Regions from separate parts of the Mus musculus genome. Here all the other regions are reported to be linked to region 4. The links are microRNA targets in miRTarBase. Many come from high-throughput screens and were not tested one by one. Region 4 holds a microRNA gene; each other region holds the end of a gene's coding sequence.

Region 1 (7,688 bases), not on the chromosome of region 4:
CACGGAACTGGGAATAGTGGCACGGACCCATGATCACAGCATTTGCGAGGTGGAGGCAGGCAGGCTAGAAATCTAGTTCAAGGGTATCCTCAGCTATATAGTGAGTTCATGGCCAGCCTGAGATACACTAGACTCTGACAAAAAACAACATTCCCCCTAAAACCTCCACTAACACCCATCATTTCTGAGTTTACATGTGGTCATTTTCCTTTCCTGTGCTGTGTTCTCTGCCTCAAAGATAGATTACCATTCACCTGTATGATGGATCTCACCAATTTCCAGTTTAATGCTATTATAATACTAAAACATTCTAGCACATCTTTCTGGTGACTTCTACTTACTCAATACTGAGGAGCTAGAACATTAGACTGAAAGTGTGACCAATTCTGTCCGATTTTATGATTTTTTTTTTTTTTGGTTTGGTTTTTTGAGACAGGATTTCTCTGTATAGCCCTGGCTATCCTGGAACTCACTTTGTAGGCCAGGCTGGCCTCGAACTCAGAAATCTGCCTGCCTCTGCCTCCCCAATGCTGGGATTAAAGGCGTGCACCACCACACCAGGCCGATTTTATGATTTTTTATACAGGGAAACTGAGGCTCAAGTTTGCCTAGTGAGTTGGTGGCAGGGTGAACCCAGAATTGAGTGCTAGCTGTCCTTTACCAGGAAGCCTTCCAGCCTCCCATTCTATCACCATGTCAGTGTTGCGCCTCAGAGGTCCAAATCTCCCCATATGTCCCATGTCCTTGCAGGTCCTGCATCCCCTCCTCTTGGCCCTTCACTTCAGCTCCCGCCGACCCCGGACCCATCAGCCGGAGACCCCGTCCACTCAGCCGGAGACCCCGTCCACTCCGAACTTTGTGATGCTGCTGCTTCGTCTTCCTCCTCTTCCTGCCCACCCTGCTCCCCGGATCCCAGCAGGGAAGCACCAGGGCCTGAGCCAGCAGAAGGGGCCGTGGGAAGTGGAGTGAATGGGGAGGGCAGGGGCGAGAAGGGACGCCTCTACTGCCCTACCTGTAAAGTGACAGTGAACTCCGCCTCTCAGCTTCAGGCTCACAACACAGGTCAGTGCTTCCCGGGTGCCATGTCATTCATGGCCAGGTGACAGAGGAACCTACCCACTGTTACTACAAAGACATTTCTGGGTCCTTCTCTTCGTCCCAAGGGAGGGGCATTGGGAGGAGAAGTCTGCAGCAACCAGAACTGAAGGTCACTAAGGGCCTGGAGTACCCTCCTCCATACTCCTTGGATCAAAAGGAAGGGACTTTTTCCCAGCTGTCTATTTTAAAAGGCCATCTTCCCTAAGGGATGTCCACAGAAAGCCATAGACAGCCAGAGATGCTGGGAAGACAGAAGTCTGTGTGCCTGGCGGGGGCCATGTGTGTGCGGAGGGGTAGCCAAGCTAACCTAGTTTGATGCTATGGCCTCCCTTCCGTACTGAGAGACCGTTTTCTTTCCTTCCAGGAGCTAAGCACAGATGGATGGTGGAAGGTCATCAAGGGGCTCCCCGAAGGGGCCGGGGCCGTCCTGTGTCCCGAGGAGGGACTGGACACAAGACCAAGAGAGTGATAGGAAATCGTGGGGGCCGGCAGGGACCCAGCCCTCCTTTCCATTGTGCCCTCTGTCAGCTCCATGTCAATTCAGAGACCCAGCTCAAGCAGGTAGGAGAAGGGAGACCAGGATAGGATGGGTATCAGAGCAAGGGAGGAGGCATTGATGCCCACTGAGGGATGGATGTGGCTAGGCTGTCCAGGACTGTCCCACGCCTGAGAGCCCCTTGTGTGTGTGTTGAACGTACGAACTATGGATAAGAGGAAGTCTGAGATAGTCTGACAATAGAATAGTTTGGGTTCTGTGGGCTTCCTCATCTCATTCTCTGTCTGTCTGTCTGTCTGTCTGTCAGCACATGAGCAGCCGGAGGCACAAAGACCGGCTGGCTGGGAAGCCCCCCAAGTCCTCCAGCCAGCATAACAAGCTGCAGAAGCACACAGCACTGGCTGTGAGTGTTCTCAAGGTACCTGTCTCTAGGAGGACCATGGTCTATATGGGAGAGAGGAGGAGGCAGGGCCAGCTGAAAGGCTTGGGGTGTGGCAAGAGGGAGGCTGCTGGTCCTGCAGCTGCCTGAGCAGGGACAGGGTTAGGGGGTGGAGGTGGGCCATACCCAGAGGAATTTCCTGCGGGTGGGCTGGGCCTAAGGTCATAATATGAAGGGCAAAAGCCAGGGGTGGGTGTGCTTATCCTAGAGACCATCTCTTCCTACCCCTCACAGTGCGGCCCGTCCCGAGGCTGTCCATCTGCTGGGCAGGAAGACAGCTGGCACAGCAAGGCCCCCTGGCATGACTGTTTGGGGGCGGGAGGGAGGAGGTTAGACTTAGAACTCTAAAAGGCACGTCCCCGAGGCAAAAAGGCTCCTGGATGTGTCCCAGGGAGGGGGCGGGCTTCTCTGGTATCAGAGACCCTCTCCATTTCTGTTTTTATTGTAGTCTAAATTGGCCTTGCAGAAGCAACTCACCAAGACGCTGGCAGCCCGCTTCCTGCCTGGTCCGCTGCCCACCACAGCTGCTGCCATCTGTGCCCTGCCAGGGCCCCTGACCCTCCGGCCTGCTGCAACAGCAGCTGCTACCCTCTTCCCAGCTCCTGTCCTGGGCCCAGCTCTGTTTCGTTCTCCAGCAGGAGCTGTCCGCCCTGCTGCAGGACCCATCCTTTTTGCTCCCTATTAGTGGACTCAGAATGGCCACATCCTATCTCTTCCAGTCAGACACTTGTCTCCACATCCCACAGAGACTGCCTTTTGCAGTTTCCGGGTTCCCACCCAACCTGGGTAGCTGCCCTTCACTCAGACTGGGGTTCTCCAGTCCCCTGGCTCTGAGGACCACCACTACCCTCCTTTCCTGGGCCAGCCCTAGGCTGCCCTGCATCTATGATTTAACAAATCCCAAAGATCTATGCAAAAACCACAGCCCCAGTCTCATGGTGCTCTCATACCCAGACCCCAACTAGAGACGTACACAGAGCTGACAGCATTTTAGCTCCCAAGGGCCAGCCTCTCCTGCCATGTTCTAGAGCGGTCTGGACAATCACTAGAGACAGGGATCTCAAACTGAAGTGGGCTGGAACCTATCAGGCATATTTACCATGGGGTAGCCAGGTATGGTGGTGCATTCCTGCAATCCTAGGGCCTGGATTACGAGTTCAAAGTCAGTTTGAGCCATATAGCTAGACACTGTCTCAAACACCAAAACAACCACAAGTAGACTACAGGGTATGTATGGCAAAGGGCCATAGAGATAAGAGGCCCCAAAGTTCTTAAAAAATGTACTGTGAAAGTGAGGCAGAGTTGAGATGACGCGCCATCTGCTCGTGGGGGTGGGGCTTGAAGGGAAAAGTGGTGTTCAGGCTGGGCCTGACTGTGTCATCCTGGCTGGTCTGGGACTGTATGCTCAGGCTGGCAAACTCAAAAAATCTACCTGCCTCTGCCTCTTAAGTAACGGAACTAAAGGCACACACCACCCTGCCTGGTCTGGCTTTGACACAATAGCCCTGGCTGTCCTGGAACTCACTTTGTAGACCAGGCTGGCCTCGAACTCAGAAATCTGCCTGCCTCTGCCTCCCGAGTGCTGGGACTAAAGGCGTGCACCACCACACCCGGCACTACAGCTCTTCTTATCTTAGCCTTTCAGTGGTTTCTCTTGAACCCCAACTCTAAAGGGGCTCTGGGTCTCCCTCAGCCTAGGGACTCTCCATTCCACACTGGGTCTGGCCATCCCAAGTGTGGCGTTTCGGGCTGGTACATGGTCCAGTAAACCCTCAAGATCAACTTTCATGTCACCAAAGCCAGTGCCATTCCCCCATTCGACATGGGATTTCACCAGGATCCACCTATATCCCCCTTTTTTTGAAAGATATTTCCAATGGGACAAGAAAAGGGGTAGGGGACGGGAAACTTTTTGATAATAGCAGTTGTGGTTTTATTGTGTCCAACACATCAATAAATGAACTTCAAGCCTGAGCCTGTAGGTGCCCAGACTCTCCTTGCCCAGGCCTGGGCACCAGCCCCCCCTCGCCTGTTCTAGGAGGAGGAGAGGGTATTGGAGGTGGCCTGGCCATAGTGTTTAACCCGTGTGAGGTGTGCACATCAGAAGCACGGAGTGGGCACCGCAGGTTGTGGGTGATAAGCTCACTTGATAGCACAAGCCTCTGATGGAAGGCTTGTCAGCTCCTGGGAAGCTGCTACTGGGCTGCCTGGTTCTCTTCAGGCATCTGAGGTAAGAAAGAAGGGCTGGGGGCGCGGCTTATCCCACCTTCACCAGAGCAGCAGGTGCATAAATACAGAGAGAGTATAAATATAAAGTCCAGCTACTAGCCAAAACCAACCAGGAGGGATGGACACTACCCTGTTGGGCAGGTTAATAGACAGCCGCTCGCTCGCAGCACTGAGCAGAGTGCACCCCTGCCCCCTGGTGGTTAAGAGAGGCCGTCCAGCCTCCAGGGCCGGTAGGTGTAGCACCTTAAAGAGGGTGGAGCAGGGGCAGAAGACACACAGGAGGCCCAAGCCACCAGCTTTAGAAAAGTCACAGCGCTACCCGTGGCTCTAGGTGACATCCAAGCTTCTGTCAACTCACATACGAGAAGACTGACGCTCAGGGGAGAAGAGTCTTGCTAAGTCTCAGGGCATGTGACAGCCCAGTCATCACTCCACTCTACCTCAGCCAATAAGACCTCTGCTCCTGGAACAGGAAGAGGAAGTGAAACAACTGGGAGATGGGTAGAGGTCAAACAGGAAATGCCACTCCCAGGAGCCTGACTTTACCAGGCCTTGAACAGGCCAGAGGAAAGGTCAGGGTGGAGGATGAGGAACCAACCCTAAGCCAGCTCGCACAAATGTATGCTTACAGTACCTAGTCTTTTGTTTTAAGGCTGGTACTGTGTGTATGTTAGTGGCAGGAAATTCAGAGTTGGGATCCCTGATAGGAGGCAGATCCTGGACTGGGCGCGTTGGCATGACGGCCCTGCTTCCTGCACCAGGCAGATGGAAGGGACACTAACCCATAAGTGTCTAGGTGACAGTGGAGAAAATATGGTCAGCTGGGGGAGGGGTGGGAACTATTATGGAAGGTCAAGGGAGGGCCAACAATCAAGTTCACTTGCACTTCTTGGAGTTAAGAGAGGACAAAGGTGGCACTGGCCTGGGCCAGCCCAGCTTCCTGTCCTAGAGGGTCACTCCCCTACCGACTGGGAAGAACAGCTTGCTTATGCACCCTGTGCTCGCCACCCATCCCGGAATGGGCTTGGAATGGTGAAGCAAGAAGGGCAGCTATTCAGCCATCCAAGGAGCCGCTGCCCTTGTTCTTGCGGCTGAGGGGGAAGGCAGACTTGCTCTGCGGCTGGGTCATCTTGCTGGCCAGGTAGATGAAAGGCTCTAGGAGGGAGCGTCGGTCAGCCACCGACACCTCCCATAGCTTCACCTTCTCGGACTTGGCCCAGTGCTGGGCCACGTCAGGGTCTACGCGACGCTGCTCCTGCAGGTCACACTTGTTGCCAAGGACCACGATGGTGACCTGGAGAGGACAGATGAGAACAGGGACTGTCGGCATGCAGTGGCTCAGGACCAGGTGTAGCCATCAGCTGTTTCTGGCCAACAGCTGGGGAGGATGCAGTTCCCAGAGGACTTCTGGAGGACTAGCAAGAACACAGAGCCCCAGAGAAGGAAAACTAGACCGCGCTTCATGTGCTAGGAGGGAACCTAGTAAACCAAGAAGAAGACTCAGCGATTGAGCTCTCCTATCATGTGGCCCACTACCTCTTGTGTGGGTTGAAGACCCTCTCCAATGATCTTCCCGGCCTTCTAGCTCCTAAACTACCTCTTGGCAAATGCGCACAACTGGGAATCATGCCAGCACCCTGTCTCAGTCAGGGTTTCTATTCCTGCACAAAACATCATGACCAAGAAGCAAGTTGGGGAGGAAAGGGTTGATTCAGCTTGCATTTTCCACATTGCTGTTCATCATCAAAGGAAGTCAGGACTGAAACTCAAGCAGGGCAGGAAGCAGGAGCTGATGCAGAGGCCATGGAGGGATGTTCTTTACTGGCTTGCTTCTCAGCTTGCTTTCTTATAGAACCCAAGACTACTAGCCCAGGGATGGCACCACCCACAAGGGGCCCTCCACTCTTGATCACTAATTGAGAAAATGCCCCACAGCAGGATCTTATGGAGGCATTTCCTCACCTTAAGTGCCTTTCTCTGTGCTAACTCCAGCTGTGTCAAGTTGACACACAAAACCAGCCAGTATACACCCGAAAGCATACCGAGGACCCACGCTCATGCTCTCCTACCACTGGGCTCCCAGCAGAAGTCTAGGACATGTACCTCCTTCTTGTCCTTGGACTTGTCGATCTCCTTCTTGAGCAGCTCGACGCGCTGGAACGACTCTCGGCTGTCTGTGCTGTAGACCAGGACGTAGCCATCGGTGCAGGAGAAGCAGTGCTTGGGCAGCTCGGCCCCATCCCGGAGACCCCGTGTATCATAGAAACGCACCTGCTCCCGCACCCCTCGGTCTGTCTCGATGGAGCCTACATAGATGTCCTCCTGGGTCTCGATCATCTCAGAACCTGGGTTAAAATGAGTCAAGAGAGATGGGAGATGGGAGCAAGGTAGATAGCCTAACAAGCCGACCAGACACAGGGCATAAGGAATATGGGGGCTCGGGAGAGACCAGACTTGAGAGTGAGACCGAGTGTCATGTCTTTATCACACCAAGCAAAAGGGCAACACAGAACTGGGTGTGGAGACACACACCTTGAATTGAAGCTCTTGGAGGAGGGGAGGCAGGGGCAGAGACAGGTTGATCTGTGAGAGTTCCTGGCCAACCTGGGCCGTACAGTGAGGCCCTCTCAAAGACGATAACAACAAGGCGGGCAGTAATAGAAGCAGACACCCTACATCCACCTCTGGCCAAGTGCTGTGGGGTGGGAATGGGCTTCTTCCTATCTTGGCTTTGGGTTTCTTCCTTCTAGATTTGTACAATGTCATAGAACTTGGGTGGTACAATGTTTTATTTTCCCCCTCCATTGTGGGGTTCAAACCCAAGGACTAGTACATGTTAGACCAGGGCTCTGACAGTCAGCCCTGCCTCCAGCCCTAATTGGGAGGGTGTGAAAGCAGCTGGTGTCCTTTTTAGCTTTTGGATTCAGGATGTGACCAGATCCTTCACTCAAGGTCTTCTGCCAGTCTCCCGGGCCCAGCAACACTCACCCACGACATGGTTCCCGTACAGAAGCTGCTCAAGGATTGAAGTTTTGCCCACAGATGCCTGGCCGCACACGACCACCTTGCAGCTCTTCCCCATGCTTAGCTTTCAACCTAAAAGGACAGAAGCCGTGTGGTGAGGGAAGACAGAATCCAAACAGCAGGCCAGGGAGCATCAGGGAGTTAGCACCACCCTGATGTTTACCGAACTACTGAGCAGTGAGCTGTAATTAACCTCCTTATCCCATGAGTGGCCAGGATTTGGCACACAGCCAGGGTGGGGTTAATGGCACCACAAAGGGAGGGGCTTAGAGAGTGGGGTGACAAAAACAGCTGGCCGGGTTTGTTCCTGTGCACAAGATAGGGCACCAAATACTGAAGGAAGTTCCACAAATACTCCTGTTCTTTTTGTTTGATTTTGGGGGGAGGGGGTTGTTTTGAGAC
Region 2 (7,460 bases), not on the chromosome of region 4:
AAGATCTGGCACGCAGGCTCCAGCCAACCGGGAGCCTGATTTCCTAAGTAAGATTAATATCTAGACCTACAGAGTGGTCCAACCCAACAGCTGTGCTTGGCCCATCCTCTTCTGTCAGACAATTTCCCTCCCTGTAAGTCCCTAGAGCGGTGCCTTTTCAGGTCCCATCCCCATTTGGCCGGTCCCACTGCTCTGCTAAATAATAGTAACACCTACCTCTAAATTAGTAAAGAATTTTACCTTGGAGAGGGCTCAGCCAGAGTCTCTATGGGCCCTGAGAGCAGACTCCATCAACACTGGGCTTTAGTCTTTTTTTTTTTTTTTTTGGTTTTTCAAGTAGGCTTTATTCTTAAGAGTTAAGTGCTCGCCGGGCAGGGCACTTGGGAGGCAGAAACAGGCAGATTTCTGGGTTCGAGGCCAGCCTGGTCTACAAAGTGAGTTCCGGGACAGCCAGGGCTATACAGAGAAACCCTTTCACCAAAAAGAAAAAGGAAAAGGAAAAAAAAAAAAAAAAGAGTTAAATGCTCAATTCTGCCATTGATAGTGTAACCCAGCAGGCAGGGCAAACATCCATCACACAAAGCCAGAAACTTCCACTGCTGTAACAGTGGGTATGTTCTGGGGACATGGCACAACATTATGGTGGCCATAACTTTTAATCCCAGCATTTAGGAGGTGGAGACAGGCAGAGAGCACCAGGGGTTGGAGACCAGCCTGTTCTACATAAGTGAGTTCCAGGCCAACCAGGTGACTCAGTGAGACCCTGATACTAAAGTAGATGAATAAACCAAGAATCCAGTTTGTTGAGGTTTTTTCTTGCTATGTGGCCATAGGAAAACATGGTGACATCTGTAAAGTGCTTGGCTTTGTGACCAGCCCATTTCAAAGGTTCACTTGAGGATAGCTAGAGTTAGTCTAGCTGGAGGAAGTGTTTGGATACCAATGGCAGAAAAGACCGGCTTTAAGTCATGGCTTGACTATTTACTAACCAGCCCGAGGCAAATAACTGATATCTTGAGCTTCTTGTACCACAGCTTTAAAACAGGGTTGATACATTTTAAGGAGGGGGGAAAAATTCCTTCTTGCATTCTGGACTCCCACCTGCCACGGAAGGGGAAGGCAAGAGAAATATTATTATTATTATTATTATTTGGTTTTTCGAGACAGGGTTTCTGTATAGCCCCGGCTGTCCTGGAATTCACTTTGTAGACCAGGCTGGCCTCGAACTCAGAAATCTGCCTGCCTCTGCCTCCCAAGTGCTGGGATTAAAGGCATGCGCCACCACGCCCGGCAAGAGAAATATTCTATGGCTTCGCTTGCAGGTCGCCTCTCAGTAGAGGGTACAGGACACAAAGACATAGCTGGAGGCCTGGTGTGCCTCTGAACAGAGTCAAGGCTGGGCATTCCAATCAGATCCAAATAACACAGACTTGATTATTCCTGGAGTGCTGGCTGAAGTGGTCAGGCCAAGACTGGGGAGGAAGTGTGTACCCGTTTGTGACTGGACATCAGGTGACAACCATTCCTGTGGGAACGCTGGTTCTCTCCTTCCCCTTAGCTTGGTAGCAAGGACCTTTACTCGCTGAGCCATCTTGCCAGCCCCAAGAGAGACAAGAATGTCATGTCATTAGTCCTCCATGGCCTCTCTTCCCTCCCCTTCTCCTACATTGGTGTCTACTATTATTGTGGGGTGGGGAGGGGACACATTTACTTATCTGTTGGGGAGGGGAGGTACCACAGCATGTGTTAGCGCTTTCTCTCTTTCTCTCTCCACACTCTGGGGGTCAACCTCAGGCTTTGATCAGTTTTGGTAGCAGCTGAGCGACCTCCCTGGTCTTTCTTAGTGGTGGGGGTTGGGAGTCCAGACTGACAGTTTAACTGAGTACTTAATTGGATGTGGTCTTCAATTCCTGATCCTCCCAACCGTTGGAATGACAAGTGAGTGCCACTGCAGCCAGCTCACCATCTCTCTCTCTGAGTTCAATTCACTCTCAACACGGAGTATCACTGCAAATTGTTTATTAAAACACAAAGCAATGGACAGTGAAAAACATCCTGATTTTTTACTTTTTGGTGGGAGTGGGGTGGGGCATGAAAGGGGTATAGATGGATGGAGACAGCCCAGAAGGAACAACAGCTCTACCTACTCCTGCTGCTGCCCTGGCCAGCCAGGTTCAAGGTCCCTCCTACACCTTGCCACACTGCTGTAAATGCACGGTGTGGCCTTGCAGGGAAAGATGGGAAAGCTAAGAGCTACAGAGGCTAAGAACTTGATGCCTGTCCTCCAGGACTGGATCCCACAAGCAGCCAAGTTCAATACTGAGGGACAGGGCTGGTTTCCTCACAAGCCAGGCTGGGCCAACAGTGGTTGAAGAGGCTGCCCTGAGCTTAGACTGGACAGCCATTCTATCCCGGGGGAACTTTGTGAAAAAGCAGTGTTCCTCAGCGCCGACAAAGAAACTAATCCAGGGTCAAATTTCTTTTCATTCCCTGGATCATGGCACACCAGGAAAGAGAAGAGCCAAGAATGTCTCTTTTCCTAGTTTTGCCACGACATCTCTCCTTGCCAAGTCTCCCCTCCCACCTGGCACCTCAACTGTTTCCTGACAGTTGTCCTCTGAAAGGACGGAAAGCACACTTCGGTTTGTTGTTGTTTTTCCTCATACTGAAATAAAGCACTAAGCTCAAAATAGAGGTGAGGATGGAGTTCTGCTTCTCCCGATGCTATGTGCTCCCATCACACATGACTGCCTGGATGCGAGCATGCCAAGGCCTCCTCTGCCAACTTCCGCAGGCACTACTGTCTCCCTGGCTGCCAGCACAATCCTGGCCCCTTGCTTTTACACTCCGAGAGAAGCCCATCCCAAGAGATGCACTCTGTTCTTTTCCTGCCAATCCGATCAGTCCCCAGATCTGCTCTTATCAAGACAATCTGGCCACCTAGGACAACGACGCAAAAGCAGCCCGAGAAAGACAGAGTGGATCGGCAGCAGCCATCTGCATCCAGAGTAAGCGGCCTCCCTGGGCAACTGACCATCAGTGCCATGTCAATCGTCTATCCTTGCCCCTCTCCCGTGTCAGGGAAGCCCAACACAGATAGTTTTAGATAAACCTGGAAGATAAAGCTGCCCTGAGCTCTCTGGTGTAAGCAGTAAGGCTTCTTCGCAATTTTCTTAGCACTCTTTGATCCATAATTACATCTTCCCTATAAGAGAGGCCACGCTCTTCTGCAATCTCTGAGCAGATCCTGCGTGTCTGCGGTTTGTCGGTGTAGCCTCCATCAGTCTTACCTGAAGAGTCACCTTCTTCAGAGGCCACAGCAGGAGGCCTAAAGTCACCTCCCTAGTTCTGCCTTTTTAACAGCAGGAGCATCAGTTAGTCTCTTGTTTGAGAATGCTCACATGCTCTGCTAGGTCTTTATAGAGTCACGGAGAAGAGTCACATGTGGTGGCCACAATGCCATTAAGGTTCCTCAAGGCAAGAAGACACTTGTATTATGTCAGAGTAGGCCAGCAAGGAGGGGGGTGGATAGGGAAACAGCCCACAGTGGACCATCAGACCCCTGCCCAGACCTGGATCTAGAGGGGACGCCCACCTGACTCAGAGCAGGAGAAAAAAAGGCACTGTGCTGCCGGGGTGGGTTGGTCCCCAGTTCCCAGGGAGGAGAGAGAACCTGCTGACTCCCCGCTGACTCCTCCCTGGACTCGAAAGCTGAGCAGTCTCTAAGAGAGAGGGCCCTGTGCGCGAAGAGAAGGGAGTACTGTGGCTGTTTCTCAGCTCCTTAGCTAAGACTCTAGATCAGGGCCAGGCCCTTCCCAGGAAAGGCAGGAATGAGACAAGAAGGAGAAATTCCTTAAAACAGAAGCTTCTCAACAAAATGAAAGTCAAACCAGAGTTGTAACCTGCTCCCAGGCACACAGTGCGGCTCAGCTCTGCCCACTCACCGAGGTGAGGCGTGTGGGACCCTGGGATCTCCCACTCAGCAGGAGAAAAGGTCACACACTTCATCAACAGGCAGCGCCTCTCACACGATGGGCATCTGAAGGCTGCCTTTCAAAGGGCCAGATCTGTGGGTGTCCAGTGAGCAAGCCCTCCTCAGGACTGCAGACTTTCCAAACAATAGATTTAATGGTTTCGGGACATGAATCCCACAAATCGTTTCTTGGCACAATGTTTAAGAGAGTTTGAATACGACCTAAAGCAATGCAGTCAGAGGCCAGCTGGCCCCTGACTGACCTAAACCACACTGGACCTGCAGACTCAACCCAGCTGTCCTTGCTTGCTCCTCTGCTCTGCTCTTGTACCTTTCTCTCTAGTGGCTGGATCAGTGTGCTCTAACATCCTGGGTCAGAGTATAGCTCAAACAGAAAACCCGGGCCTCTCCTGGCCCACTCCCTGACTTGCACCACCCACAGCTCCCAATCCCAGGCAACTCCTTGTTCTAGCTCAAAACACAGCGGGGAACAAACAGTGCAAAAAGCAACACGAACAATGGAGTGATTCTTGACATACACAATACAAAAATAAAAATAAAGCGTGCCCCACCCAGCCCCTTTAACCCAAACCTCAAGTACCTACATCATCTTAGAGGGAGGGGAAAGCTTTCAAGTTCAACGTCAAACAGCTCATTAGCTGGGCAGGCTTGGCTTAGGGAATCCATCCCAGCCTCCGCCACACTCCTTCCCTTCTGCTTCCTCTTCCCTTTTAGTTTTTATTAGCTACAGAAAGATGTTCCTTCCGCTCAGATACAACTAGAGAGGAAAGCACCCGTCCCTATCCCTCCGGGAAGGGGTGGGCTTGGAAACAGAGGCAGAAGCCGAGCCACTTGGCTTACAGTACCATTAGGAAATGGCCCAGGAGTCAGGGTTTCCTTCTGAGAAGGACTCTGAGTCACCAAAGGGGTGAGCTGGGTGAGAAAGCAGGACCCCTCCTTCCTCAGAGACCCAGGCAGACAAGGTGACACGGAGGCAGCTACTCTCCCTCACCTTGTTTAATGTGCTGACAGTGGCCCATAGCTTTGTAAATAGGGATGGACCGGGAACCAGAAGCCAGATTAGTCAGGACATCTGTTGCCCTAGGCAGGCAGTTCCCGAGACCAGGGTAGTAAGTACCTCAGCGTCCTGTAGAAGCAGGACCTTTGCAAGTGCAACTTCAGGCCACAGCCATGCAGCTGCCACCTCAGTACCCTAGGGCTAGCCTAAGTCACAGAGAACACAGAAGACAGTTCTCAAATGACCAAGTGCTGGCCTGGAGTCACCATTAGGAGCCAGTCAAGACATGGCCCCAGAGCTACTTACTTGTCGCACAGCTCAGATATCTGATAAGGCAAACTTAAAATTCAAACACATTCAGAAATAAGGGCCTGGCCTGAGACTCACACGGCTCCAACTCAAGCTGAAGCAAAGCCTGCTGCTTCTGACATAGAAAATCCCTTTTATTGCAGCTGGGCTGTCCCTCACTGTGTCTTAACTGACACACAGATGAAGGTGACCAAAAGGAAGATGGGGGACATGGAAACTTCATCCCCTACAGAGGTGTTTACTGGGAATCTGAGACAGACACTTTGATGCTAAAGTTAGACATTCAGAGCCTCCAGAACTACAGCTGACTAGGAGTCTTTGAGTCCCACGTATTTGGATGGAACTTAACTGCTACTTGGATAGGGGAGGGGAGGGCAGTAGAGCCTACTATTATCATCAATGAGAAACACAGCTGGGCTGCTGCAGCCAGTCTCAGTTCTTTGGGGTGACTCTAGGCATAAGCCTAAACTAGCTGAAAGAGGACAGAAGACACAGGGACAGATGGACATCAGATTCTGGACATTCTAAACAGTGGTCAGTCACTTAGCAGGGCTCAAGTCTCTGAGGTTGCTAACATAAGCCTTTTCTAATCCAAAGACCAGAAGAGACTTTTAAGGTCAAGTGTTCTGTTGCTGCAGGCTGGAAAGCATCCCTGTCCCTGGCAGCAAGACCCTATGGAGGGGCCAGTAAGAGTTGCTGGCTCAGGAATTCAGGGAGGGAGGTACCAACAAGGTGAGGTGGTGGAGGGTCAGACACCCCAGCAGAGACCACTCCAATCTCCTGTCTCCTGCCCAGTTTTGACAATAACTTAGCTCTATGGTTAAGAAGTGAGAAATTTCAAATGAACCAGATTAAGAGAAAAATCAAGAAGAAATCAAGTCCTCAACAGGCACTAAAATCAAAACAATTTGTTGTAGTAACAAGCTGTTGGTGATTTGAGGACCTGACATACACTAGTCGTCTTGGATACCAGACAGTCCTCTAACTGGCACACATCAGGATGAGAGATGACAATGAAGATACATCAACAGATTAACCCAGACGACAGGCTTCCCAGGAAGGAAGCGCTGACTTTCTCTTCCACGCCTTTGTCTTTACCGTCCCACTTATCTACCTCCACACACACACTTGGAATACCATGACTGCTGAAATCACATCTGGACAGAAACTCAGAACACACCCAACTCCAGTGCGGTCTTTCCAGGTTATGTGACATTTTCCTGCTGTTTGTTAATGTCTAACCTAAAAAAACCAAGGAAGTGTGACTGCTCTGAGTTCAGAGTCCTTCCTACTAGGTATATAATGAGGATCCTCGGAGAGGAAGGATCCTCTCCCTAAGTACCCCAGAGAAAGAGAGCTGGGGTGGGGCCAGCTAGGCAGAGCAGGACTGAGCACTCTGCAACCTGTGTTGGTGGGGTGACCCCACTCTCTCTGCTTTTCTTATCTCTTTCCGTGTGTGTGTGAGCACATGTGTGTCTGTGTTTGTGTGTGTGTGTGTGTGTGTGTGTGTGTGTGTGTGTGTGTGCGCTGTTTGATTTGTTTTCTCTTTTCCTAAACACTGTGAAGATTACAGAAACCAAAGTGTCTGGTTTCTCGCACACTCCCTCCACCCTGCTGAGGATGGCCATTTGTCCTCTCACAAGCGGCAGAGGCAGAAGAGGGTTGGAATGAACACTCCGAAGGCCACCAGGATAGGGAACATGAGGCTGCTGTTGTCCGAGGCATAGGGGTTAGGCGTGCGGGGGCCTGACTGCACCCTGTTCTTGTTGGTCTGTCTTTTGAGATTAGACCCCTCATCATATTCCTCCTCCTCCTCCTCCTCTTCTTTCTTTTCCAATCCTGGATGAGGCTGCAGCTTTGGTACATCTAATAGAAAAAAAGAAAAACCCTTTAAGTACACTAAGACCCAGAGCATTTACATGAGAACATTCAGAGCCGTAAATGGGCCACACTAGAGAGACCTCTGTCATCTAACCAGGTCCACAGGGAGGGGTAGAAATGATCTCTAACCTAAACAGCAGGACACAGGAACAGTAGTCAGATTCAGGTTTTACCTAAAAAGCAATACAGGGCCTTCCCCAAAGGAAGGTTCTCTCTCCTTCCTGACTCACTTCTTCAAAGCTCCCAGAGGCCCACAATAGGCAGGGACAGTGATCTGAC
Region 3 (7,007 bases), not on the chromosome of region 4:
AATCCTAGCACTTGGGAGGCAGAGGCAGGCAGATTTCTGAGTTTGAGGCCAGCCTGGTCTACAAAGTGAGTTCCAGGACAGCCAGGGCTATACAGAGAAACTCTGTCTTGAACCCCCCCACCCCCCCCCAAAACCCCAGAAACTACAAACCAGGCTTGACCAGTATAGTCCACTGCATTTTTTCTTTACCCACCAATACTAAATTGGTGACTCTTGATTATTCAATTATATCCAATTCAATTCAAAGGGTTTCCAGTGGGGGAGGGGGAAGAATCCTAAAGGATGCTAGCTGGGGCAAAGAAGGCAAGTCAAACTAATGGAAAATGTGGGAGGATGGCTCAGTGTAGCTGAAGGGCCCTGAGTCTGAGCCCTGACTGATTTGCAGTTGGGATGGGGAGAAACCCAATCCTCATAGTGAGGAGGCTGTTAGAGCACTGGCTGGGCTTCAGATGAGAAGTTAATTAGTGAATAATGACTTCTTGGCATCTGCATCAAGTATACAGCAAGCAGCTAGTCAAAGTGCAGAGACAGAATGCTTTCTTTACAATTTTATTTACAAAATGTATTAAAACTTTGTACATACCTCATGGCAATGAGGTTCGGTAATTATGCCCACACATGCAATTTACACTTTTACGGCCATTAGTTTGCTTGGCAATTTTTCTGTTCACTGAAGTACAGCTTTAACAACAAAAAGAAAAGAAATGGAAAAAAATCCTCAATTGACTACCGCCAAACTCCCATAGCTTGAAGTTAATAGCAGAAATTTGAAGCAATCAACATTTTTTTAAACATGCAAGTTTTTTTTTTTTTAAATAACAAACCAATTTACCCGCTTCTTCATCTCAGTAAAGTTTCCTCTCTGAAAAACTGATTTGAGTCAATAAACATACATTTCTCTTTATACAGTGCCTATGAAAAATGTTTGTGTATAGGTCAGTTGGTTTGTTTTATACAAGTTGATATTCACACAGAGTTAGCTTCCCGCACTGGGACATTATAGCATTCATAAGTTGAAAAATCACAGTTTCATGAAAACAAAACAAAACACAACAGCTTTCTTTTGTGTTCAATACCATTTAAAATCTGACAGGTGAGTTATTTGCTTATGACACACTTTCTGGAATGAAAGTTTATATTACACCTTTCTAGAAATGTTTCATTGGAACGAGACCTCTTCCTTTCTTTTCTAAAGACGAGAGCAAATATGCGCGAGTCAACTAAGCATCTAAGGGTCACACTTGGGAAATGAAGGTGGGCTCCTAATTTGTACAGTCTGGAAACTTTCCAATGCACGTTACTGATGAGAGCATACTACTGAACTACAGAAAGCATACATTGTTATATAGGAGGTAATTAGTGAGCGGAGACTATTTCCTCTGACTGGTCTGATGACGTCAACAGCAGGTTTGCAATTAGTTACTTGAGAGCCCATGGAGCAGTGGGGCGATCTTCAGTTCAGTAGAGAAACTGCTCCAAGCAAGGACCTGGGAGTGATGCTTAGGTCCCTCAGGTTAGCAATAGGTTTAGGAATGCGTCTTAGTCTTTGCAAACTAGAAAAGGACACATGCAGTCTGACGGAGAGCCACAGGCAGGCGGTAACAGGCAACAGCTGGTTAAACAGACCTAGCAAGAGTAAAGTCAGATTGAGAACTGTGGTCTGAACCCACTGGCCTGCCTTGCAACACGGTTCTGTCTCCGTGTTGTACACTTAGGCATACTTAGCAGAGAAAGCAGAGCTAAACACAGTGTTGTTTCTGAGAAAGATATTCCAAACACGTCTGGGAGAATAGGCAGCACTTCCCTCACCTCAGTGCTTACTATTCAACTACTCAGCTATATTGACTTAAAATGCACACGGAATTAAGAAAAACAGATCTATCTGTGGGCTGTAATTCCAGGCTTCTTGGAAAGCTCCGGGATCCGTTTTAGGAAAGCACCGAGAGGTAAGCCTGACAGTGCCCTGCCCCATGCTACACACAGATGTCAATTTCAAAGGCTCTATTAATCCCTTCACCTCCACTATGGGGAGTTCTCCAAACATTTTTTTTTTTGTCACAAAACCATTGCAAGAACACTAAGTCACCATTCAGTCTCTTTCCCAAAGCATTTGAATTTTCTTAAGTGTCACATTTACATTCTAAAGATTTACACAATTCAGCAACATCAAAAGGAAATAGGGTGCACAGAACATCACCACCAACAGGAAATACCAAAAACATCTGATCAGCAGATCCTAGAAGAAATGCCAGTCTGTCTGCCCGAACACTGGGAGACAGATTTCTTTTATTTTAAATCAGGAGGAATTATTTCTTTTAGCTAAGATGGGTCTATTTTGCTGAATTAGAATAAATTTGTATGTGTGAATGTGTATACATAAGTGAGTGTGTGTGTGTGTGTGTGTGTGTGTGTGTTTGTGTGTGTGTTAACGAACATGGTTTCGTATACTGTGCAGTGGTATCAAAGAATGGCTTTTGTTGAATTAATGTTTTTAATAAGAATTTTTTTCGCATACTGGAATCTTGCATGTCCATTTTTTGTTGGTTTTATTTTAATTTTTTTTCAAGCAAAGCAAAAAGATTTCAATGATGGTTTGCATTGTCGCAAGTCTCAGAGTGTTCCATAAGGCACTGAAGGAAAAAAAAAATCAGTTTTTCCTATTGAAAGGTCATTGCACCATCAGCAATATTCGTGTCATGCCCGACACCAAGGAGAGTGAAATCTGGCTCAGGATCCTTGAAGCAGCCACGTTTTCAGTGATTTCCTCTCATTGCATGCTTCCGGTGGGAAGGGATCTGCAAAAGGCAAGGGGACATTGTAGTATGAATGGACTTTTATTGGGAACCAAGACATTTATTAATGGCTCTGTTGACACTGGACAAAAAAAGTGACTGTTTTCTTAAATTGCCATTACTGGGGCCATCTTCCACCCCCAGTTTGGTAGGAAATAGGTCTGGTTAAAATTTTCAACTGGGTGCAGGTACTTTGGAATAGATTAATTAGGGTGGTTTTCTAGCATATGCATGGATTTTACTAACATGCAGGAAGTCTAACTCAAGACTTTAATCACTCAAGGTGTAGGTATGTTAGAAAGCTTTAGTGGCATTTTAATATAGTCAGGACAAATGCACTGCAACGTATATTCTGATTGCAGATGTGACAGGGATTGTTTACCTAGGACAGAGGGTACACAATGGTCTGGCTTACTGAATTCAAATCCATTTTGAACATGAGGACAAAGATTATTATTTGTTCCTTGACTGGGGACTGCTCATTTCTCTTAATACCTTCAACCTCAGTGTTTAAAGTCTGAAAGTAACACAGGGAGTTTAAAGGGATAGCACATTCTAGAAAACAGGCAAAAGCAGTGATACCCATGAAACAGCTTGGCATCTATAGGTGCTTTGCCTTGAAATTAGGGGCCCGATTGAGAGGGTGCTGATAATGCCCTCGTTTTCATGGCCTCGACTAGATGCAGGGGATTCTTTGCTCCTGAGTCTGTCTCCTGTTGGCTCACATCCTTTCTCAGCCACCTTTCCCTGTACACTAACAGAACATTCATGTTTTCTCTTGAGTGAACCCTGAAGCTAGGTTGAATGAATGACATCATTATCTACCTCTGGTCCTAGAATTAACATATGTATGAGAATGCAAAGAGCCAAAAGATTAACATGAAAGTAGGAAAAGCTCTTCTTTGGTACTCCCCCAGATCCAGAGTCTCTCTCTCTCTCTCTCTCTCTCTCTCTCTCTCTCTCTCTCTCTCTCTCTCTCTCTCTCCCTTGCCCTCTCCCTCTCTCCCTCTCCCCCCCTCTCTCCTTCTCTTCCTCTTCTCTTTCCCTCCCCTCCCCTCCCACCTCTCTTCTTCTCTGTCTCTTTCTCTCCTTCCCTCCATCCTTCCATCCTTTCCTTCCTTGCTTTCTTTCTTTCTTCTTGCCAATGGGATAGCCTTATCTGGCCCCATAACTCTAAGAAAGTGACTTGACTTCTCAGTGACTGTTTCCTGCTCTTAAATGGTAGGAAGGGAAACAGCACTGGTACTCAGATAAAAGCTCTCTGAGGAAAAAGAACTTCACCCTCTCAGTTATTCAAAAAAATTTTCTTCACTTGACATAAAATTAGTTTTTGTTTCTTCTTCAAGATCCCTTAAGCTGGAAAAAACTCTCCAGCAGGAATGTCTATGCAAGTTGGACCTGATGGCTCACATCTATGATCTCACTATTCAAGCTGAGACAGGGGGATTTCTGTGGGTTTTAGCTCATTCTAGGTTATTAGGTAAGCTCCTGTCTCAACCTTTCACCCACTCAAAGAATACCTACATATACGCTATTTAAGGAATCTTGATACCTTGGAAAATAACAGTATTTCATAGGATGGAATAGTATAGACCTAGAGGAAAAATGGAACTTTCTCGAAATTACAGGCTTGTTGTGTCCTTGCATATGAGATGGATTTCAAAAACATTCCTGAAGAAGCCAAAGAAGCTAACTGTAGTTTTCAATACACACACACACACACACACACACACACACACACACACACATATATGTACATATATACATATGTGTGTGTGTGTGTGTGTGTGTGTGTGTGTGTGTGTGTGTGTGTCTGTATGGAGTATATGGAGTGCAGTGCATAAGAAGTACGGCATGGAGGGTCTACAAACTTTTTCAAGATGGTTTTTAATAATATATGTTAATTATTTTTGTACATGTTTTGTCTGCGTGAATATAAGTGCACCACATATATGCAGTGCTCATGGAGGCAGAAGAGGGCATTGACTCCCCTGCAACTGGAGTTACAGTTGGTTGTGAGCTGCCATGTGGGTGCTGGGAACTGAACACTGGTCCTCTGCAAGAGCAACAAGTGCTCTAAACTATTGAGTCATCCGATGGCCTGCATGGACAGCTGTGTAATAAACTAATCATCTCTTGTCAAATTGACAAAATCTAACTAAGGGTTCAAATTTCCTGAAGACTATCAGGCTATAGATGGAGAAGTCAGGAAGAGGTAAGTCTGGTTTAGTAAAGAGGAAGAAAGGCTTCACTTTACACTTGAATCTGCCACTACCTAGTTGAATAGCTTTAGACAAGCCACTTGTTGTATCTGAGTTTTAGGTACCAGAGGGGAAATACTGCCTGATCGATTTTTATTACAACCCAGGGAATAGATGTGACAGAACATGGAAAACTGCTATATATTCTTAAGGCGTACTAAATAGTTGGACTTCAACTCCTTGGGGTTTGCAGTAATTATGCTAGATTGAAATTGTTCCTGTACTGTCCTACAAAAAAAAAAAAAAAAAAAAAAAAAAAAGCAAATGATATGCCCCCAACTGAATTATATCATCAACTCAAAGCACTAGCACATGAGAACATTAACTGATTACATGCTAATAGTGCTAATGACAGATGAACTTATGGGTTGAACATTCACTAGTGGGAACAATTTGTTAACAGGTTAGTTCATTGTACGGAGTGTGTAGTAGCTGAAGGCTGCAGTCTACAGGACAACAGGACAACGAGCAACTTCTTCAAGTAAGATCATGTTTTCCATGGTAATAACAAATGATTTGTTTGGATAAAATGTTTAAAAATTAACTAAATTTAGATTTATTAGGTTATATATAAGAAGGTCAACATATAGAAATTGGAATATATTGACATTTACTGGTAGGGTTAAAGTTAGCCAGCTAAAATAAGGTATAGGAAGTTGCTAATTGTTATGTTCTACTTTTGATAGGCACATCAGTAAGGCAAATGTACTTGGAAGGTGGTAAGACTTTATCCTTTTATATACTTGTAGAATGGAAGCATTATTTGAATCCATGCTTGCCTTTAAATTTAGATGCATTATTGGTAGTCAGGTTTTCCTAAGTATTAATTTTGATTTGGTCACCAGCAAGTAACCTAGACCCTTACTTACCTGAGCACCATCAGTTCCAAGGAAGGGATAACAAAGGGACTCAAAATTAAGAAATTTGTTTCATGCTTCCACTGCTTAATTAAAACAACCACTACTTCTTCATGGAAGGACTTCCCTACATGAGGTGGCAGGACCTTGCTTCTTTTTCCTAGTTTAAACCTCAGTTCCAGAATATCTGATTTCTCTAGAATTATACTGTCTAACATGGCAGCCATGGGCACATGTGACTACTAAATATTTGGCATGTTGCTAGTATCACTTGGGTATTCCCTAAGTATAGAAGCACCCCAAATTTCAAAGATTAGTATAAATAAAAGAACATAAAACATCTCATTCATTTTCAATATTATTGTGTAAGTGACAAATCGAAATATTTTGGGTATCTTGACTTCAATGAAATGCATGATTAAGATTAACTGCATTTCTTTTATTTTTAACTCTGTAACTAACAGTTAAATGTTATTCATGTGGGTCACACGTGTCACTCACATATATTTGCATTGAATAATACTGCTTAAGAATGTATTTTTTCCTTTCATGTCACAGACCATAACTTAATTCCAGTTATGCTTTTAGAAAAGCACCAACCACTGACACGAGAACACAATCATTGTTTAAAGATAACTAACTAGTAGCAAAGAGGCAATGCTAGAATCCAACCAAAGTAAGAAACAGGAAAGAATAACAACAAAAAGGTTAACACACACAAACGTAAGGCTGATTAGTTTACTAGACCTTAACCGTACCCCTAGATCTTAACACTTTCTGTTCCATACACGTTGTAGCCTTCTCTGTATGTAGCGTAATTCTGAGTGTTGGTGGCAGGAGCAGGCTTAAAGTTTTGGGTGTTCTTTGTGAGTTTCATGCGTTTGGACTCTGCCCGTGATTTGTAACAGAATTCTATCAAAGCCACCATCATGGCCAGCCCCAGACCTCCGACAAGTATATAGAACACGCCTGCCACATTGCTCAGGCTTAGAGCACTGGTCTTGTCCTAAGAAAAATGAACAAGGCGATTAGTTCTTGAGGAAAACAAAGGCAAGAGGACATCATAACACATCACAACAGCATAGGGCAATTCTAAG
Region 4 (7,688 bases):
TTAGTATAACCAAGATTCCTAGAGAAAAATTTACCCTTATATTTCCAGGCAAAAAAACCACATCATTAAAAATAATTGGATTATGATTTCTGTATGAACAAATATTGCCAATCTCCTAAATCTCTCAGCAGTTCAGGGAAGACTAACAGTCATAAGATCTTTTTAGTACCACTTATTTTAAATACTCCATGAACTTGAAGATGATAAAGTGTTTTTAAGAGCTTTCGTTTGAACCTAGCATCCCCAAACATTAAATCAAGTCTCATTAATTCAACGAATTTAAGGAATATTTTTAGATTTTGCTCCTTGGGTTTTCTTGAATATGGATAAGCAGGAAATGACCATAGATTATTCTTTGCAAGGAAAAAAAAGCAATTATCAACTAGAGAGAGACAAATGTATTATAAATCAGCTGAAACTTACCTTATAGGTAAGCCAGAGCACATGGGAGCTAGTCTTAAATTCTAGAAACTCTGAGTCAGCACACAGAATTAAGGCTTCCAGATGTGTAATCATCAGTAGAGCTTGGTGAGGGGCAGGGTGCGCAACCTGTGCAGCTGTCTGGGCTATGTGTCTAGAAGCTGTGTGTACTCAGTCTAACACTCCTCTATGCCTTTTAAAACTACAATGATTTTGAGCTCTGGACACTGAACATGACGTCGGTGGTTCCAGGATACAGACAAGTGGTCACTAAGATACAGACAGACAAACGTCTGATAGCATCTAAATATAGTTATATTTATTAATGGGGTACAATATCCTGTAATCAAGACTAGCCCATTGGCTAGAGTGATAAAGAATTACTTCACTTGTCTAATCTATAAACCAAAGCAAATTCACAAATTTGCTAATTGTTTTTCTCTGCTGCAGATGTGAGCTGCCAGGAACCAGTGGAGCTTCAGCATTCAAAAGTAATCAGCCAGCATTTCAAACTCCATCAAAAAGTCATGTATCACTTTCAGAAGGCAATGAAATTCTGATACATTTTTACTGGAGCCAAAGAAGGGATGATGAAGCATATGTCAATTTTAAAACAACAGAGCAATCTCTTCATCTCACCGTGGAAAACCAGGAGTAGCAAAGGACACTTGTCCCTTATTCTCCAGAATACAAACTGCCAACACCACCTGTACTGCTGAATGAGGGAACGCCGACGCTTTGCTCAACTCTGCTCTCCCTAGCATGAGTTGCAACGTTCCTCTCGTCACTTACACACTTACACATGCACACCTTTCTTCCTTTACAGGACAGAGAATCACCAAGCCTAGAAAGAACACAAATAGAAGCTCAGGCATATCCCTGTCTTCACTTTTGCATCTGCTTTGTTTCTGAAAATGAATCTAGAGCTGAAACAGTCAGGAAAAATAAAATAAAAATGAAATATCAAATACGAAAGCCACTCCAGCTCTAATTTAACTACATTTTCTCCGTTTGATGTCAAGTTCCTAAATAGAGCCTATGTAGCTCTAGAGAAAATACTGAATATTACCCTAAATTTACATAACATTTGTTCTAAAGAGCAAATAACATTTACATACAATTTACCTCCAATAATTTGCACATGCAATATCCCTATGGAAGTCAAGGGGAAATGCATTATCCTCATTTTCAGAATAGTAAAACCAAGATACAAAATAGAACCAGAATCACAACACATACACACAGAGCGAAACTATATGCACAAATCATTTCTCCATTTTAACATTTTCATATTATTAGACTCTTAGTGCAAGATTATTATCATTACTATTATTATGAAATATGTGCATATAAAATTATTAGTTACAAAGTAATTTCAATTATAAATCATTTTACATGGAGCTCTATAAGGCACTAAATAATTTTAACAAATATGTAAATTAAGAATAGATTATATTTTCTAAATCTCATTATGAAGTTATGTATAAATTTAGCAACAACCTATATCCCACGGAAAATAATACAGTGACCTCCTGTGATAGTAGCAGTCTAGTAAATGAATTATATTTTGATATCTAAACCTGCCTTGTAAAAATAGAGGTTGTAATTTTTTGGGAGTGATTTACAAACACAGAGAAACATTTTTTCCGACCTGTATCTTCCAGTAGAGATTCCATACTACCCCAGATCTTGAGCCCAGACTTAAATAAACATTAGCTGCTCAGTTTTAAAACCTCGTGGGATTACCTCTTTAATTGGCGATGTGATGTCTTACGTCATGATGTTGCGTCACCACGTGATGACGCTGTGCCATCACAACACATCATCGCATATTGACACAATGTCATGGCATAATATCATGGAATTAATTACATCAGCACTCCCACACCCTGGCCCCAGGCAGGAACAATTTCCAGTTTTTCTTTGCTTTTGAGAAGAGTCTTGGTTGACAGAAGAAAACAGCCACTGGAGAAATAATTTCCTGGCCTCCTAGAACTTCCTTGGTCTCCAATTAGAACCGTTTTAAAGTGACAAGGAGGAGTTCAAGGGTCGGTTGTCATGGGGATAGTGTTCGAGGGTTGTTACGTGCTTTGCTCCATAACTAATAACACTTAAACTCAATTTTAAAGACAAACATTTACAAATGCTGACCCTTCTTTCCTCCACCCCAAGGCTTAAAACAACAGCACTGGAATGGTGTGAAAAAAAAAATTAATTTGTTGACTCTTCATTTCCTGTCCTTCTTATCCACGCTCTTCCAATCCTCTTTCCTCAAGACTGAGACGGTCAGAAAAAGTACGTGTAGCCAATGGCTTCAACTAGCTTTGCATGTTAGGTTGGAGAGGGAAGGGAACCTGCAACAGAAATCCTCTCCACAGTCTGGTGGAAGGCAGCCTCTCCAAGTTCACACCCACTCACACCCTAAGTGTCTGGATGAGGCAGTTACACCCAAAGTTATCAGGCATTACTTTTGAATTATTCCAAAGATACGAGTTCCCGGTTAAACAAAGGGCTAGCTTATGCAAAGTGTCAGTGAGTGACCTTTCCTTCACAAATCCAGTTGCCAGACGCCAGCTCTATTCTAGTTCAAAGGCTCTGGCCAAGCTGAGGGTGCAGAGTTCTCTTCAAAGCTCGTGCGGCAGTAAAGGAGACAGGTGAGCAGATTTGAAGATAGCAAGGGAAAGGAGGAGGACAGAGGCGTCGAGATGATCCTGCAAAGAGACAGCATCTTTTGTCTCGTTCTTTCTTGAAAATTAACATGAGAAGGAGAAGAAAACCTAAATTCAAATGTAAACCAAAAAATGGGCATAAGGGAGATCCCAACATATTAGATTAAATTTGTTTGTAGACATTTTCTCAAAAAAAAAAAAAAATCCTGTTGAAACCAGTGCAGTTAAGGAATACTTACTCACACATTCATAATCCTTCATCATAATTACAGTCTCCTGATGATTCTTAAACTACTCTATCACTTAGCACAGTTATTTTTTAGCAAAGTATTCTATCTGCAAAAGTAAACATACCTTTTCCCTATTTATAACCAAATACACAATAAAATCCAAAACCTCTCTGTTTTCCTGAAAGCAATTTAGTAGCCACAAATATATTGGCAAGTTCTTTTCTGGTAAGCATATAAAGATGAATTTTTTTTAAAACCCTTGAAGATATTCTGCCTTTTAAAAAAGATCATTGGTAAGTATTTATGTTTAAATAAATCAGCAGACCACCTCTACCCAATCAAAGATCAGTGTTACAAGTTCTGACAGATTTGGTCCAACATGAAAAATCACTGGTAGATATTTTCAACTGTTATCATAATTCCCAAGAGATGTTTCAAAACTAGAAACCAGGAGGCAATGAAAACAATTTCAACTTCCAAAGATTTGCCTTCATTTTCTTGAGAGGTGCATCATGTTTCAAGAGAAGTTTTCAAGTAATGTTCAAAAATTCCTTTCTAAGCCAGGTATACTTGCCCTTTTGGAATAAAACTATTTTGAATTAACTATTTAATTAAAATAACATTAATTTTTTAATGTGTGGAAAAAATATATATTCATTAACATATCAACTTTATAAAGGCAGCAAAAAAGACAATACAAAATTCTCAAATAACTCATATATATATATATATATATATATATATATATATATATATATATATAAACATATAGAGAGAGACTACAGTAAGCTACAAAGACATCAATAAGCAAGGATTGGTGATAAATCTCCAACACTAAATCTTTCTCATATATAATATACAAAATAAGAACAATAATTACATACATACAGGAAAGTTTACTTGACTAAGTGATATATTTTAGAACATAGAATACAGATGTTCTTCAACTTATACGGGGCTACCGCTTAGCTTGAAAGTGTTATCAACATAGGACAGCGTCATACCTATGGCAAGCCAGGGAAGACACTGAAAGTCAAATCATTGTAAGTGGGAGACCATCTTTGTAGACAATGATCTGCAGAAGATGAAAAGTCAAAGCAATGCAGAAGTTAGATACATTCTGAATATTTTTTCCTTAAGAACCATATCTTTAAAAAAAAAAATTCCAAGTCCAAAACTGGAGCAAGAATAGCAACAGCAGAGTTTCCAAGTTCTGCAGATTTATTCAGCTCTATATTAGTGTTCTCCATCTCCAAAAGTCAGTTTATGCAACAGATACGTGTTGCAAAATTTTCAAACTGAATTTGTATCTTTGAGAGCAAATAATATTTGCAGCAGAATGATTGCAAATACACTTGCCTGCTTTATGATTCTAGAGCTCCACGTGCTTTCACACTTAGGGACCCATTTGTTTAACCGTGTGATTATATACTAGTGATAGAGTGAAATTAGGAATTGAGGCTGGAAACATTCATATATACATTTATCTTCCTATGAACTCTACACATACCTAAGACAGGTATAACAAATACCCCACTTACTCTTTTTTTTAATTAATTGAGCTTTTTTTTTTTTTTTGCATGTGTATAATGGGCTTTGCTCCAGTGCTCCATGACTTCCCCTCCAATTCCTCCCCTCTCCCCACTACCCATTTTCCCTCTCAATTTAACCTGGCCTCCATTGGACACGCAAACTTTATATGCCCCAGTACAGGGGAACACCAGGGCCAAAAAGGGGGAGTGGGTGGGTAGGGGAGTGGGGGTGGGTGGGTATGGGGTACTTTTGGTATAGCATTGGAAATGTAAATGAGCTAAAAACCTAATAAAAAATGGAAAAAAAAAAATTTAACCTGGCCTCTTTGTAAACCTACTAAACTGTGTGCTGCCTGTATGCGCATGGCAGTACCATTGTTATTGGAGCATGGGGAGCCTATCAGGAGACATCTTCCTGAACAGACTCCTCCCTCGCCAAGTAGCCATCCAATTCTAAAAGCCCCCGAGCTAGTAGTTTGACTTCATGAGCCCACCTCCTGTCTATACTGGGATTTGCTCTGGCTTGATCTTGTGAAGTTCCTCTTCATGCAGTCTTAGCCACGGCGAGTTTGTTGTACAGTGGTCCTGTCATGTCTGGAAAATACTGCTTCACTAAAGATACCCACTCTGGCTTTTACAGTCTTCCTGCTGCCTCTTCTGAGATGATCTCCATACCATAGGTGAAGAGCTGGAATATAAAAGTCCAATGCAAAGCTGAGCACTCCAGTCTCTTATTTTCTGCACAGTAACTAGTCAGAGATAGCTGTACTAATTGTCATCTACTGCCAAAAGAAGTGTCTCTGATGAGGGTGGAGAGTTGCATTTTTAATGAAAACATGGAAAAACATGGAAACTTTATTATCACATTCATTTAGTAGAATAATTTTTTTTGGTTTTACTCCCCAAGAGCCTATGACATATCCAGCCACTGGTTTTAGACCCAGTTAACAGTACCAGACATGAGTTCTTTCTTCTGAAGAGGGCCCTAAATCCAATCAGACAGTGGTTTCTTACTCCCATGATATGCTTGTCACCATTCCATCAGTAGTTATGTTGTGCCAGGCCTGTTGTGGTTACAATTGGCAGGGTTCACAGCAGGGTAAGACTGTTGATTACGTTTAGTGTACAGAGCATCTTCCAACCCTATGAAAGCTACCCAAGATGTTTTTCTTCTGCCTCAGAAGTATATTTTAGAGTTGCCATAAAACAAAACAAGAGAGCACACAGAGATTAGTTAATTTTAACTATGTGGAATAGTTGCATTTAAATTACTAAATTTAAAGAAAGAAAAGAATGACAGCTCTGAAAGCTACCAAAATTATATTTGGATATATATATATATATATATATATATATATATATATATATATATATATATATATATATATAATCTCATTCAGTTGAGTCACTCCCAATGATGTTGAAGTAAATTGTAGTTGTTTTGTGGAGAGAAAGTGTCTTACTATATATCTCAGGCTGGACTTGAACTCCCTATCTTCCTGACTCTGCCTCTCAGGAACTGGAATTATGGGCATGTCTCCTAAGCTGGGTACAATTATTAATCAATACAACCTGCAAAATTTTGTTGCTTAAATTAATTTGTTAGCTCATCATTTCTTGAAATACATATTAACATATTAAATACATCAAAATTAGCTGAACTTATCTTTTTATATTTATAGATAGAAGGGCACAAATTGTTACCAGTTTGATTAATCTCCAGCTCGCAGGGCTCTTTAATGTAATTTTAGTTGTAATTCCACCTTCTTCAACATTCCTCATCCTCTATTAAAATCCACAAGCACACAAAATGTGCTGCATCTTCAGAATACCCGAGATAGATACTATATTTCTCTTATGGCATTAACGACTGTGTTAATGCTATCCCAACTTCCTTTTTCTCACCCCCTCCAACTCAGTCTTGCAGAGACAGAAGCTGAGGACCATGCTTCGTCCCATCACAAAGAACTGGTCTACTTTGTTTCCATACCAGAGGCACCTGCTTTTTATACAATACAACAGTGAGGCTCCAATAAACTATAGGACCCCAAATTGAAGTTGGAGTTAATAAGCTTCAAGTTCTGAAGCAGAATCTCACCTGCCTTGACTCTGAGCTTTTCAAACTCCTTATAAGAAAATGCTCTACCCTGGGAGTTTAGACCAAAAGAGATACAAATAAGAATAGGTTGGTGGCAAAACAGGTGAAGCCCAGGTCAGTAGGATCATAGAACCCCAGCAAATATAAGGGAATATATGTAGCCAAATGACTACACCTAACATGGCTGGAATGGAAGAAACATACAATAGTGAGCCTTTACTGTTTATAGTAGAAATGTTATGAGAAAAGTAGTATCGTGGAAAGACTGGGAAATGATTGAAGGTGCCAACTACAACAGAGTCACCACGACACTTCACATAGGAAAGATGGCAATGAGGAGACATGGTGAAATCAGGGTCTAACTAGAGAAATTTTCAGTGGATAATTCCAGTGTGTGTGCAGATATTTTTCTTAATATTCTTTGTATGGTGAAACGACAAATATAACAGCCAAGACTTGAGGAGGAAAGATGCGCAGAATGACAGAAATGAATCTGGTTGTAATCCAGAAAGAAGAAAAGGAAGAGGAGGATTAGGCAAAGGAGGAGGAAGCTGACGTAATTTCAAGGTGAGCACTTTAAGATGACAGGGTGAGCAAGTTTAATTTTCATGACTATGACATGAAAGTCACACTAGAAATAGAGAGACAACCAATCTCTCTGATAAGAGATTCAGTGCAAACCTTTACAGCAGCGACTGGAATATGTGATCCAAGTTAACTAAACTCATCCACTCACCCA

The links. Region 4 holds the annotated microRNA mmu-miR-592-5p (AUUGUGUCAAUAUGCGAUGAUGU, at 2,240-2,262, opposite strand). A microRNA usually pairs through its seed, bases 2 to 8, with sites in the 3' UTR of a target mRNA and lowers its output. Matches are read on the target gene's strand: a 7mer-m8 pairs with bases 2 to 8, a 7mer-A1 pairs with bases 2 to 7 and ends in A, and an 8mer does both.
Region 1: miRTarBase lists Zfp385c as a target of mmu-miR-592-5p. Seed matches in the 3' UTR shown: 7mer-m8 at 3,527-3,533.
Region 2: the mRNA of Mlec is a reported target of mmu-miR-592-5p. Seed matches in the 3' UTR shown: 7mer-A1 at 6,782-6,788.
Region 3: the mRNA of Gria3 is a reported target of mmu-miR-592-5p. Seed matches in the 3' UTR shown: 7mer-A1 at 2,414-2,420, 7mer-A1 at 1,063-1,069 and 7mer-A1 at 925-931.

The regions. Positions count from the first base shown.
Region 1 is chr11:100,623,862-100,631,549 of GRCm38, reverse strand. It overlaps Zfp385c (zinc finger protein 385C), which reads left to right. Exons shown (of 9, transcript NM_001373887.1): 6 at 751-1,062; 7 at 1,463-1,659; 8 at 1,902-2,012; 9 at 2,482-4,007. The coding sequence ends at 2,718. It overlaps Nkiras2 (NFKB inhibitor interacting Ras-like protein 2), which reads right to left. Exons shown (of 4, transcript NM_028024.2): 2 at 7,251-7,358; 3 at 6,366-6,607; 4 at 3,948-5,556. The coding sequence starts at 7,344. The coding sequence ends at 5,317. Among named protein-coding and RNA genes, the nearest start is that of Nkiras2, 4.8 kb to the right of the region's middle.
Region 2 is chr5:115,140,979-115,148,438 of GRCm38, forward strand. It overlaps Mlec (malectin), which reads right to left. Exons shown (of 5, transcript NM_175403.3): 5 at 2,003-7,166. The coding sequence ends at 6,937. Among named protein-coding and RNA genes, the nearest start is that of Unc119b, 9.7 kb to the left of the region's middle.
Region 3 is chrX:41,672,128-41,679,134 of GRCm38, reverse strand. Gria3 (glutamate receptor, ionotropic, AMPA3 (alpha 3)) reads right to left here. Exons shown (of 16, transcript NM_016886.5): 15 at 6,669-6,916; 16 at 534-2,795. The coding sequence ends at 6,671. Among named protein-coding and RNA genes, the nearest start is that of Thoc2, 240 kb to the left of the region's middle.
Region 4 is chr6:27,934,472-27,942,159 of GRCm38, forward strand. It overlaps Mir592 (microRNA 592), which reads right to left and starts at 2,279; the gene lies at 2,184-2,279. The region is part of intron 2 of Grm8 (glutamate receptor, metabotropic 8); the gene reads right to left.